Linked DNA regions of Kluyveromyces lactis. The protein of the gene in region 1 purifies or fractionates together with the protein of each later gene. This does not show direct contact. Links are inferred from orthologs where the notes say so. Each region holds a gene or a part of one and is shown on either strand. Other genes may lie near its edges. The genes, in order: RPN14, RPN9, RPN7 and RPN8.

What was found.
Region 2: the proteins of RPN14 (region 1) and RPN9 purify together in Saccharomyces cerevisiae (affinity purification with mass spectrometry; 3 studies listed by BioGRID, with this or other methods). This does not show direct contact. The link is inferred for Kluyveromyces lactis from reciprocal best matches to the Saccharomyces cerevisiae genes RPN14 and RPN9.
Region 3: the proteins of RPN14 (region 1) and RPN7 purify together in Saccharomyces cerevisiae (affinity purification with mass spectrometry; 3 studies listed by BioGRID, with this or other methods). This does not show direct contact. The link is inferred for Kluyveromyces lactis from reciprocal best matches to the Saccharomyces cerevisiae genes RPN14 and RPN7.
Region 4: the proteins of RPN14 (region 1) and RPN8 purify together in Saccharomyces cerevisiae (affinity purification with western blotting; 4 studies listed by BioGRID, with this or other methods). This does not show direct contact. The link is inferred for Kluyveromyces lactis from reciprocal best matches to the Saccharomyces cerevisiae genes RPN14 and RPN8.

Annotation. Positions count from the first base shown.
Region 1 is NC_006037.1:775,692-778,731, reverse strand, and holds RPN14 (Rpn14p), read right to left. Parts: upstream 1,773-3,040; coding exon 501-1,772; downstream 1-500. Other genes in the region: Golgi transport complex subunit COG7, read right to left, coding at 1-198; replication factor A subunit protein RFA1, read left to right, coding at 2,225-3,040. UniProt on the Saccharomyces cerevisiae protein: Acts as a regulatory subunit of the 26 proteasome which is involved in the ATP-dependent degradation of ubiquitinated proteins.
Region 2 is NC_006038.1:62,872-66,048, reverse strand, and holds RPN9 (proteasome regulatory particle lid subunit RPN9), read right to left. Parts: upstream 1,766-3,177; coding exon 581-1,765; downstream 1-580. Other genes in the region: TIF35 (translation initiation factor eIF3 core subunit g), read left to right, coding at 1-66; SNX41 (Snx41p), read right to left, coding at 2,067-3,177. UniProt on the Saccharomyces cerevisiae protein: Acts as a regulatory subunit of the 26S proteasome which is involved in the ATP-dependent degradation of ubiquitinated proteins.
Region 3 is NC_006040.1:1,236,915-1,239,924, reverse strand, and holds RPN7 (proteasome regulatory particle lid subunit RPN7), read right to left. Parts: upstream 1,736-3,010; coding exon 509-1,735; downstream 1-508. Other genes in the region: ERP4 (Erp4p), read right to left, coding at 2,047-2,673. UniProt on the Saccharomyces cerevisiae protein: Component of the 19S cap proteasome complex which acts as a regulatory subunit of the 26S proteasome, involved in the ATP-dependent degradation of ubiquitinated proteins.
Region 4 is NC_006039.1:826,809-829,617, reverse strand, and holds RPN8 (proteasome regulatory particle lid subunit RPN8), read right to left. Parts: upstream 1,510-2,809; coding exon 508-1,509; downstream 1-507. Other genes in the region: COX10 (protoheme IX farnesyltransferase), read right to left, coding at 1-92; GTPase GPN2, read left to right, coding at 1,968-2,809. UniProt on the Saccharomyces cerevisiae protein: Acts as a regulatory subunit of the 26S proteasome which is involved in the ATP-dependent degradation of ubiquitinated proteins.

The DNA.
Region 1 (3,040 bases):
GGACTCAAGTTCTTTTGTAATATGCCCACTGTAATAGTCCATTTTTGAAAGTAGACTAGAGCAATTGGTCTTCAATTCTTCTAATTGGCTTGTCTGGAAAGATGATAACAATATGTCGACGAATGCTTGAGGTACAAAATCATCATCGAAAAACATGTCTAGCAAAGGGTCATTAGCACCAGATATCCTTCTACTCATCGTGTAGGAAATTATAGTGCTATATCGTCCTTCAAAGGTGATTTGGTGGCTTACTTGGGTGTTTCATGATCATCATATTTAGAGGTAGAAGGTTAACTTCTTCATTTTGATGTTAAGATTTCAAGATGATTTTTGGTGCCTTCAGATGCACAGTAAGAAAGGTTTAAAAGAGAAGGATACAATATCAAAGCAGATATTACTATACACATTGATGAGAGCAACGTATGGATAATTTATTGGACTATATATGGGTATAATTCTATTTACAATTCTATTGCTTCTCTTTTAGACTGGACGACAAATCAGTATTTCAATAGCATACCATTTTTTCCGACGCACCAAACATTTTGATGTGATTCATCAACACAGAAATCAGTCACTTCATCATAAGGACGAATTAGATGTGTAAGCTTATTGAAATTGAATTTCCCGTCCAAAACAGGTACATTGAAAGCAAATTGGACCCCACTAGAAACGTTCAACGTGTTATGTGCCAAGAATAATCTTGAGATAGAATCATTATCATTTACCTGGAGCGTCTCCACCGGTTTGGAAACGTTACGAGTATCCCATGATACTATCGTACCATCCGAATAGCCAGCAAATAGGTAATGGTCATCACCTGCAATGTGCTGGCTCGTTAGAGTGACACATGCAGATTTACTTGCCGGTAAAATATCCAATATCTTCTTTCTGTTATAGATATCATGAAACGTGATGATACCAGAGTCGTGTCCAGCAAATACAGCTTTCCCCTCAGTATTGTATTCGTTGCTATGGTCCAATGCATTGTACGATGTGGTCGCTGGATTTCCCTGGTAATTGGCCAATGAAATACAATTTATGCCATCGTTTGAATTGAGCGTAAAGACACATGCTGAAGTTGAGCATTCCCATAGTTTTAATGATCCATCCGAACTTGCAGAGACGAAGTTTCTACCTCTATCGACCATGGCAAAATCGTTGACTGACCGAGTATGACCTATGAAAGTTCTGAGCTCAGTACCGGTTGAAGCATCCCAAATCTTCAAGCGCATATCGATACTACTGCTTAAGAATCCATGGCCGTTAGGGAAAAATTGGGTCTTGGTGATGTGACTAGCGTGCGCTTCCGGTAACTTTATCACTTCTTGTAATGGACCGCTATAATTGGTACCGGTGTTCTTCCGTAGCACATATATGCCACCATTCGTATCACCACAAACCAAACGTATCTCGGGGTCAAACACGTTCGTGATATCTATACTTGTTAAATCAACAGCTCCAATATCAGAAGGCAGTTGGAACCGTTTTTTCGGACTTTGAAACGAAGCTAAATGTCCTGCTGTCGCATCAGGTCCTGTCAATTCATATAAATGTGGCCTTACCCTTTGAAAGGAAATTTTATCAGAAGTATTCGCATTATGAAACCCAACATTACCCCTGGAATCTAACCGTACATCAAATTCCAAATCGTATAATGGCTCACCACTGCTCCTGGATACCCATATCTTATCGCTGGCAACCTTTTCTCCTCTCACATCATCAAGAATATCATCAAACTCACTGCAAATGTTCCATTCCTCAACTCTCATTATATTTAACTAAGGGAAAATAACAGGAAGGTATACAGTAAAACGGGCAAATTGTTTGGACAGTTGATATCCACAGGAAACCTGCTGACATTATTGCTCAAAATCCATAAATCAGAAATCCACTGCTGGTGTTTAAGTTGTTCATCATCAATGAAGGTAATACGTACCTGATGCTCAAAAAACCCAAAGTCACGTGAATAACCACCTGAAAGATAGTCATGTGATACTCACGTGTAAGACGCGTAAACGCGAAAGCAATTTCCTCGATTTTATCCCTTTTATTTTGGTTCAACGAAAAATTTTCGAATTTCCGCAGAGTATATAAAGGCGAACTGTAAATAAACAACGCCATCTCAGGGTCAGTTATAGATTAGCTACAGGTGAAACCCAGGCCAAGTCGAGTCAAGTAACGGATTTGTTCTGCTATTTGTCTTTAAAATAGGTAGAAGAAGATGGGTGTTCAACTATTGGAAGGTGATTTATTGGATATTTTCCGTATTCCGGAGAGGTACAACAATCCTACCGGCGGTATTTACCAGGTTGTTCAAACCAAGAAGACTGAGACTAATGCTAAAAAGAATTTGATTCTCATCAACGATGGAAAATACCATGTCAAGGCTCTTTTGAGGAACAAAGCTGCAGAGGCGGCTCAACAGGCAGAATTAGAAAGAGGGGATGTTTTCAAAGTGTTGAACGCGGAATGCGCAGTGATCAAAGAGAAGAAGAAGTTTGTGTTGTTAGTAGATGAGATAGAGATTGTTAGCCGTGGGTTAGATTTGTTTAATAATGCTACAGAATTTGTCGATGCTTATTTGGGTGAACATATGAATGAGTTGGTGACTTTGACTGATAACGGGGCCGTAGCATCCGAGGCTGCATCGGCAGCTGCGTCTGCTACATCGTCTATGACTTCTAAGATGGCTCCTACCAGTACCAGCAACATTCCAGCCCCACAACCACGTTCTGTGCCCAAGGCAAAATCGAATAATGGGTCATCCCAAAATTCAAGGCCTATTTTTGCCATTGAACAAATTTCTCCATATCAGAACAACTGGACCATAAAGGCCAGAGTTTCTTTCAAAGGTGATTTGAAGAAGTGGCAAAATAATAGAGGTGAGGGCCATATCTTGAATGTGAATTTGTTGGATTCTTCTGGTGAAATTAGAGCCACTGCGTTCAACGATAATGCGATCAAATTTAACGAGATTTTACAGGAGGGTAAAGCTTATTTTGTATCAAAGGCTAGAGTGCAACCTGCTAAACCTCAG
Region 2 (3,177 bases), on another chromosome or scaffold:
AGAGGTTTCATGAATTTCATGTTACACGCAGAATGGTCTAAGCCAAAACCAAAGAAAGAAGAATGATAAACTGTAAGAACTCGCTGATCAAACTGATATAGTATTTTTTGAAGAGAAAAACTACTTCAAAACTAAGTTCTAAACCCATTATTTCAATACCAAGGTCTCTTTACTTCTACCTTCAAAGTTGTTGCATCTTATCTTACAGCTTATTTGTTCCCTACAATTTATCCCATTCCTTTCATAACATGGGATATCTCTGCGTAGCGTGACGTATGTGTATCCTAATAATCTTACTTCCTGGTTGAACAAATGAGCATATCACTCAGCATCATACGGTTATATTATATGACATTCTTTGACCCATTTTGCTCTCGAACGATACAATAGCATATGTGTATAATTACTACATTCGAGTACTATGTGTGTTACGTATCTACCTGTATATTACAAACTCCAAGATATATCGTCTAACTCTTTCAGAAATTCAAACCGATCAATGAAACATGTTGGTGGATTTCGTTTTTCATAGATATTAAGCGGATGTACGTAGTATATAATATGTGACGATACTTAAGCATTATACCCAAATACTTTTACCCCTTCCTTCAATCTTATTACCCAATTTCGACACTTCATCTTGCCATTTTATCAAGTTATCTTTCATTTTTTTAATTTGCTCTTGGTTGATGATCCTAGGCTGAACCCACGTAATTGTAACCAATTGTTGGACTTGATCTATTGATCCCTTCAACAATCCTAAGCTGATACTTCTCATTACTAAATGTTCAACACTGTCGATAGGTAAAAATGTGGCATCTGCAATATCGCGGAAAGACAACGTTCTGATAGACTTTGCAAACACGCTTTCTACTAGAGTCATCAAACAAATCTTTTGTCTCAAGAATGACTCATGTTGAGCTAAGATTGGTACCTTGGGAATTCTTTCTTTTGAAATTTGATCAAACTTTTGGAAATCCCCTTCAGTTAATGCGTTCAAGAATCTGAATAACCATTCGTATTCTTTATCGTTTGAAATACTTGAAATAATTGGATGCTGAAGTAGTTCACCGAAATTATAGATATTGTCACCTAACAATGCTGCAATGCACAAATTGTATGCCAATTGTTGTTGTTCGAGTTGTGTCAATCGCTGCTGTTGTTCTTCCGAAGTGATTGTTGAGAGATATAAAAGACTGGTATAATAGAAATTGTTGAAGTCTTTCTTTACTTGGTAATAGGAAGCGTTACACGAGTAGTAGGCACCGGTAACTCTGAGAGGTACCGAATCTTGAACATCAAGTGTTTTCCCAATAGCGTCTAGGATGTCTCTGACCTCAACTAGGTCCCCCTTTTCCAATTTCACACGAGCAATCTCAATATCTAACAACAAGTTCCCATTTACATGAGGTTTTAAACCATCGTTTCTTTGCTTCTTTTCATCAATTTCTTTGAATTCCTTTTGAAGATCCTTTAGATATTGTAATGATTCTTCTGTGTCATCGTTTTCTTGTAATGCTTGCAACAAAAACTCAACAACATTCAATTGGTTTATCTTGTCAATGAACTTACTGACAAATTGGGTATAAAGGCGAAGTCTGAACGATTCTGATTTGCTATCATGGAAAAAAATCGCTAGCTTCTCAGTTAACTGATGCCATAGCTTCCTCTCATACAAGTCTTCAAAATCGTCGAATAATGGGGCCAATTCACTATTGACTTCCTGCTTCAATGTAGATAATATGGTGTCAATTTCGTGTGTCATATTTTGACTATTTAAGCTTGCTGAAGTGCTGTTAGTCGTGCGATGTATGCCTTAATCTATAATCTTTAATATTCTGTTCGCCACCTTACATTTCAGAAGGTGTATCGATCTATATATTTCATATTTACAAAACGTCAATCGAAGCATGAAAGTCGTTAATAATGACAATTCTCCAAACAAATGCTGTGAGAAGTGGATGAACTAGATATGTGACAGCAAATCATCTCCATCTGCACTTTCATCATCAAATAATGTAGTTCAATGCAATACTTCATGCCTTTCTTTTTGAGATATAAACCTTTTATATGCTATCTATAGACTGTTTGGCATTTTTCCAAGACTCTGAACAATCCTTTAACCATGATGTTATATTGTGGGCTAGTTCGCGGAAAATGAGGAACCACTTCTCATGGAAATATTTCTCTAAGTTATTCAAAGAGTTATCCATTGACTCATTGACTTGTTGTAAGTCCTTTTCGATGAGTTTGAAACATTCATTCAGTTTTTCAAGTTCCTTTTCTAGTTTGTTTACCTGTACAACCCGTTCGTCTTTAGTTAGAAGATGAGGTTCGACTTCACTTGAAATCGAATCAGATCCAGACTTGTTGTTTGGAGATGCTGATGACCTGAAAAGCCCCATTATCTGTTTGTCCGTGTGATTCTTGTTTGCTGACTTACGCGTCATGGAGTCCATAACTTGAGCAACGGTGGGTGATTCCTCTGCATTTAATTTCAATGCCTCGCCCAATCGTACAGCTTGTAGGTCTGCCTCTTTCAATTCACGGATTCTATCTTTCCTCTTCTTTATCGTAGTTTCAATTGTGTAAAATTGTTCTTGCTTGAAATTTCTGAAGTGAAGAACTCTTTGTGCTTCATGAATGAACTGAAGCATTTCTTTGCTTCCCTCTTCTAGACTGATCATGATTGCTTCACTAAATATCTCTGCACTAACATAATTCACATCGATTGCTTGACCTGTCTTCTCTATTCCCATCGATAGACGATTCATTTGTTCAAATAATGCACTCACTTGAAACACGCTATTCTCTAGACTGAACGCGTTGAAATACGCGCCGAGTTCAGATAAAACAGCCGAATAAGTTTGAATATTCGACCTTATACTTCTAACGGTCTTGTTCAAAGGTTGTAGGATCGCCTTGTACCTGATGAGATCTGAATCGTAATCCGCGAACTTGATCTCCATCACATCGTTCCGGCCTATCAATTGTTCATGCTTACGCATTGTCAGCACCGTAGGTGTTGGCAATAATAAATGTATGGGGCTTGGTTTCGTGGGATTTAATGGAGGCGCTAAAAGATTATTCATTGGTAGGATTGAGATCGGTGGGGTATTTAAAACTTCCTTCCAGAAATATTCTGGATTCAAGAATTTTTGAAACACGATATGATTC
Region 3 (3,010 bases), on another chromosome or scaffold:
TCTCGATAATCCGGTAACTCCATCAGGAAGTAATCCAGGAAGTAGTAGTCTCCTCTCTCCTCTGTTCGTTTGCGTCGTTAACACATACTACCCTTATTTTCTCGTAGTGTATCGTACTAAATCCTTACACTCGGCCTCTGTTGGGTAGCGCTGCGACCTCTGTGCACTTTTCTTGGTTGTTTTGCTATTTGCTTTGCTATTAAAGCAAAACCTTTACGGAACTTCCTATGAACCCGTTAAAGAAGACAACGTTAAATATCCATTTCCAGCCCATAGCAAAAGACGTAACTGGCGATCAGAATCCGGTATAGCGATACTGAGAATTGTAAGGTGAAGAGGTCTAAAATGAGGGTAGCCCTAAGAGTCTTTGAGGCGCATTCTTTTTCGGTTTCTCATTACAAAGCAAAAGATTAGTGTCTCGACCCTATCGTTGGTTTTATCATCGCATCGAAATAATACTTGTTCGAGCTATATACTCTGTATAATTACTATACTGCTACTACTACCACTATATTATACGATCGGTGCCTGTAAGCTTAACAGCCGCACCATACTTTTGTAGTTTTGTAATCAATCCATCACCCTGTTTTACGAGAAGTTGGTATTGAGCGTTCTTGTTATCTGGCCGATTTGTCTCTACTATACCGTTGACACGGTCGATGACACAGTTGAGTTGTTTCGTTGGTATGAATTTGCTTAGATCTTTGTCTAAGAAATCTTCAGAGACGCCGAATGCACCAGCCATCGATTTTATCGAGAGCGTCTTGTAAGATTCCAATAGTTGAGCGTAAACCATTCTTCTCATTTCCCTTACAAAATAATCGGCGTGTTGGTTCAAATATTTGGAGGGCAATAGCACTTTGTCGTAGGTCTCTAACAAATATGGGAAATAACTTTTATATTCGGAAGTGTAAAGTGAAATGGAAAGGGAGGATATGGATTGTAACGCTGGCGTCGTTGTCATCAACGCTAGCAAGTCAGGCGAATCGATAATCTTTTCCTTCAAATCAGTCCTTTCAAATGCAAATAACCCAGTAACGAACGCGTAGGTAGCGATGTTCTCATACGAGGTAAGCTCGGTAGAAGTGAAAGTGGCTAACGATTCGACTAGTAAGGACGCAGCGGTCTTGAAATCTCTGATGGCCATCGAATGGATCCCCTTATAAGTCTTGTATCTATTTCTTCTTTCCCAATCACCACCTTTCTCAATCATCGCATTGACTCCTTCTAGCTTCTGCTTCACGTAATGCTGATCGTTGTAGAAGAATCCAAGTCTGGTTATAGTTAACATGATATCGATCTTGGCACCAGTAGACACAGCTTTATCCAAGGCCTTGGTCAACGTTTCCTCGGCGTTGTCTTTATCACCAATCTTTGCATAATACTCACCTAAATTGATCCAGGATTGAGCCTTCTCCAACTCACCTTCGTCTTTCTCTTCAATTTCAGTTAAATGATCCTTTAACTTCTTAATCTCTTCTTCGTTCTTCGCCACTAACGAATCGTAAAAGGATTGATCCCACTCAATGGCTCCCGAGGGTAACTCTTCGCACACATGTTTATAATATGGAGCCATATGATCTTCTCTGATCAGTTTCAACAAAGCATCCCTTGAGGCTTCATGTAGATGAGAGAGATTCCCTTGTCCAAGGACAAAAGCATGATCGGATGCCTCGTAATTTGGCACACGATTCACACTAGGATCCACGTATTGAACTTCAGTATCTTCAGACATAACGTTTGTTTCGAATTGTAACTTCCCTGGTACGCTAAAGCAGCTTTTGATGCCTTGTTCCCCTCTGTTTGATGGTGGCAAATGATTGTGTTCTTCCTATATTAGATGTGTTTAAGTCTTAGTTCTTACAATTTGTTAACGAATTACTTACCCGGATATTCACACATATACCGAAAGCCTGTGAGCCTTTCCTCACAGGATCCAGTAACCTTAAGATGTCATTGTGCAATGTACGCTGTACTACGTATTTCTATCCACGCATATGTACATACTTATATGAAGCGGTCTCTTGAAAACACGCCTTCTTTCCTTTAAACATAGTTTCTTTGACGATCTTTGAACATGAAATGGACGACGGTAGCTTGTAAAGTACTGATACTGGCCATGATACCCATTGTCAAAATGGATAGCCATACAATACGGGACTCTGTAGATTGCACAGTCGACATATTTCTCCATTCTCTGGCTCTCAGGTAGTCCATCATCTTTCTGATCTTGTTCAAGTTTCTGTCGATCTCTTCGATTGCATTGTTCGTGATCACATCCTCTGGATTCTCCTTCTCGGACCCCATAGTCCTCTTTTCCAATTCTAACGTAAGTTCAACTTTCTTCAGCGCAGTACCGTGAGTGTTTGTGAAACAGAACTTGTATTGACCGATACCAAACGATTTCAATAGGAAATCAGAGTATTTCTTTTGTTTCTCCGAGATAATGACGGATCCATCTGGGGAAGTGATTTCGAAATCGATTTCAAAGTTGCCACCAGTCAACACTTGGTAACCTACCACTAAGGCGTCGTCAGCAGACATCAAGTCATGGTATAAACATTCTTTTGAGAATGCAGGTAATGAAATCGCAAATGGTGCATAGTTACTGGATTCTGCCGCACAGAATCCACTGATAAACACCAATAGAACTGAAACAATAGAGTATAGCATTATTATATCCTCGTTCCTCGCTCAATTGACTTGGTAATAGCGATATATAGTGGTCTTAAGTAGCATAAAGGTAAACAGATAACCAATTTTGATTCAAAGAAGAGACGTGTTTTATTTCGACGAGTTAACACTGAACAAATTCGAGTTTTTTTTTTTAGTGTTTGAGGGTGGGATCGTGTTTTTTGTCAGTCACGTGTGTGGATGCTCTATTGTATGGTGGCAAAGTTGTCAAAGAAAGGAACATCAAAATTATATAGGGCGTGTGGTCTAGTGGTATGATTCTCGCTTTGGGTTAATAGCCTAGCGAAGCTTCGATAAACGAAGTTTAACTACTGCA
Region 4 (2,809 bases), on another chromosome or scaffold:
TGAATCAAACTAAACCCACGCCCCGATATTAAAATACTGGATAAGTTGGGGTTCAATGCCCTCATAAGTAGAGGCTGGATTACCAGTGACATACTCAATCTTCAACTAGCAGTTGATGGAATATATTATCTTGGTTAACTGGGCCTCGGTCTGGTAAATACACTGTTGTCTCAGAATGGTTTTTACCTTCAAAATTGTGCGCAATGAACAATTTCCTCGATCTTTAATCTTCATAAAATTTTCTTATATGAAGAGATGCGAATTTGATATATTAGAAGGAATCAATCTGAAGAGGTTGACGAGAACTAACGAACCGGTACCGGAGATCCATTTAATTCATTGATCAGTTCCATATCGATGCCAATGGTGCTGATCTTAGATATAGACATACATACTGCTTCATTTAAATTCTCATTAAATTTTTAGGAAATATGGCGTAGTTGTAACTTAGTATACAGAAAATACTATATTTGATTATTTTCGTTTCGGTTTATTAAAAGAGTTGCATCAGTTCTTAGTAGGTACCGAATTCGACTCAGCAGGGATGCCGTCATTAGTGGCATCCTCCTTTTGTTCTACTTCAACTTTCGAATGCTTTTCAAGAAGTTTCTTATTTTGAATTTTGTTCTCAATCAAGTTATCAAATGCAACTATGGCTCTGACCAGATTACTTATGTAAATGATCATTAGTTCGTCATTGGTTTTAACTGTGAGGGCTTTTTCCAAATTGTTGGTAACATTGTCTAAGACATGACTTGAGCCGATCATTTCATCTTTATCTGGGGTTCCGAGGTTTGGAAGAAGATTGAAAATGTCTTGCAATTTTCCTAAAATTATGTGGTTCACAGGTAACTCGTTGTTTGCCACTTTTTCCAAGTATGCTACTATGTCTTTCAATTTTCTTTGCAAGCCCCTAAGAGAATTTAATTGATTAGTTAGCTTTATAGATAAACCAGCTGCAGCTTGATCACGGACATCTTTGAGTAGATGTTCAACACCAATTTCTTCCGCCTCGTCTGCTTCCACAGTGCTTGGGATATGTATAAAGGTCCGCTCAGTCGAAGTACCATCATCCTTGATCTGTTCCACAGCCACATATGCGTTCGTTGGTAGTCCGATATCCTCTTGTTTCACATCGAGTATCAACAACACGGGATTATTGTTGGTACTGTACTTCTTGAACAACTCGTTAATCTTTAAATCAGAAGCCCTTAATTTCCCACCACTGTGATACCAACCAATTAGCTTCTCTTTCGCATTGATCTTTTTACACATCTCGTTCATGGTCTCGATGTAGTTGTGATCTAGGAACCAAACGTCTGGATTCTTCTCGTCTTCTTCGAACGGCAACGCAAACGAATTAGTTATCCTCACGGTTGCCGTGGAACTATCACCTAGAATGACACCTAAACATCTCTTGTTCTCCGGAGTATTTGTACGCTGATGATGGTCTAATACGGAAAGTAACACCAATGGTGCAACTGAAACTTGTTCGTAAGGTACAGACATTATCAATTGGTTGTTGCCAAGCTGTTTCCAATTTATAGTTTGATTTCTATTCTCTTAGCTTATCAGAAATGCAGATTGACTAAGCACTTTTTTTGACTCTCTTTTATAAGTAAACCCCAAAACGCTAGATTGGTCACGGTAATTCAATTAGTACAATCTCAAAGTATTATCACAGTTTCGCTTTCAGGAGTGTATAGATCTTCAAGTGCCCCATTATTTCAGGTATTTTTGTCAAATTAATATTTGCCACTAATGTTCTTAATGCTATTTCATTTTTTTTATTTTCAAATCTCGAAATATTAGGAACTGCGAAGCGAACATAATTCAATGCTTAATATTAAAAAGATTCTGTGCAATGAGATGAGATGAAAGGACATGTTTATACGGTTAGGGAGGAGACAAGACGGCTTACGGTTTGTACGAAGACCTTGGGTATACTCTAGAAAATAAATATAAAGATGCCATTTGGCCAAATTGTGATTGGACCTCCAGGGTCTGGTAAATCAACGTACTGTCATGGTTGTTCCCAGTTTTTCAATGCAATCGGAAGACATGTTCAAGTGATAAATATGGATCCAGCCAACCATCGGCTCCCGTATCCGTGTTCGGTCGATATTAGAGACTATATCACGCTAGAAGAGATTATGTCAGAACAGCATTTGGGTCCGAATGGTGGGTTAATGTATGCGATAGAGTCTTTAAATGAGTCGATCGATTTGTTCATATTGCAGATCAAATCGTTAGTACAAGAGGAGAAAGCATACCTAGTCTTTGACTGTCCCGGGCAAGTCGAATTATTCACACACAATTCGGCGTTGTTCAAGATTTTCAAACGACTAGAGAAGGATTTGGATATCAGGCTATGTGTTGTGAATTTGATCGATTGTATTTACATTACTTCTCCCTCGCAGTACGTTTCGATCCTTCTACTTGCACTAAGATCGATGCTAATGATGGATCTTCCACACATCAATGTCTTCTCAAAGATCGATATGCTAAAGGGATACGGAGAGTTGCCTTTCAGATTGGATTACTTCACGGAGGTCCAAGAATTGGAATATCTAAATCCACTTATTGAGAAGGAAGGGTCGGGTGTATTAGGGAGAAAATACTCAAGGCTCACTGAAACCATCGGTGAAATGGTCTCTGATTTCAATTTAGTTTCTTTCGAGGTCCTTGCCATTGATGACAAACAATCGATGATCAATTTACAAAGTGTTATAGATAAAGCGAACGGATACATATTTGGTTCGAGCGAAATAGGAGGAGATACAGTATGGGCAGAAGCTAGTAGACAAGG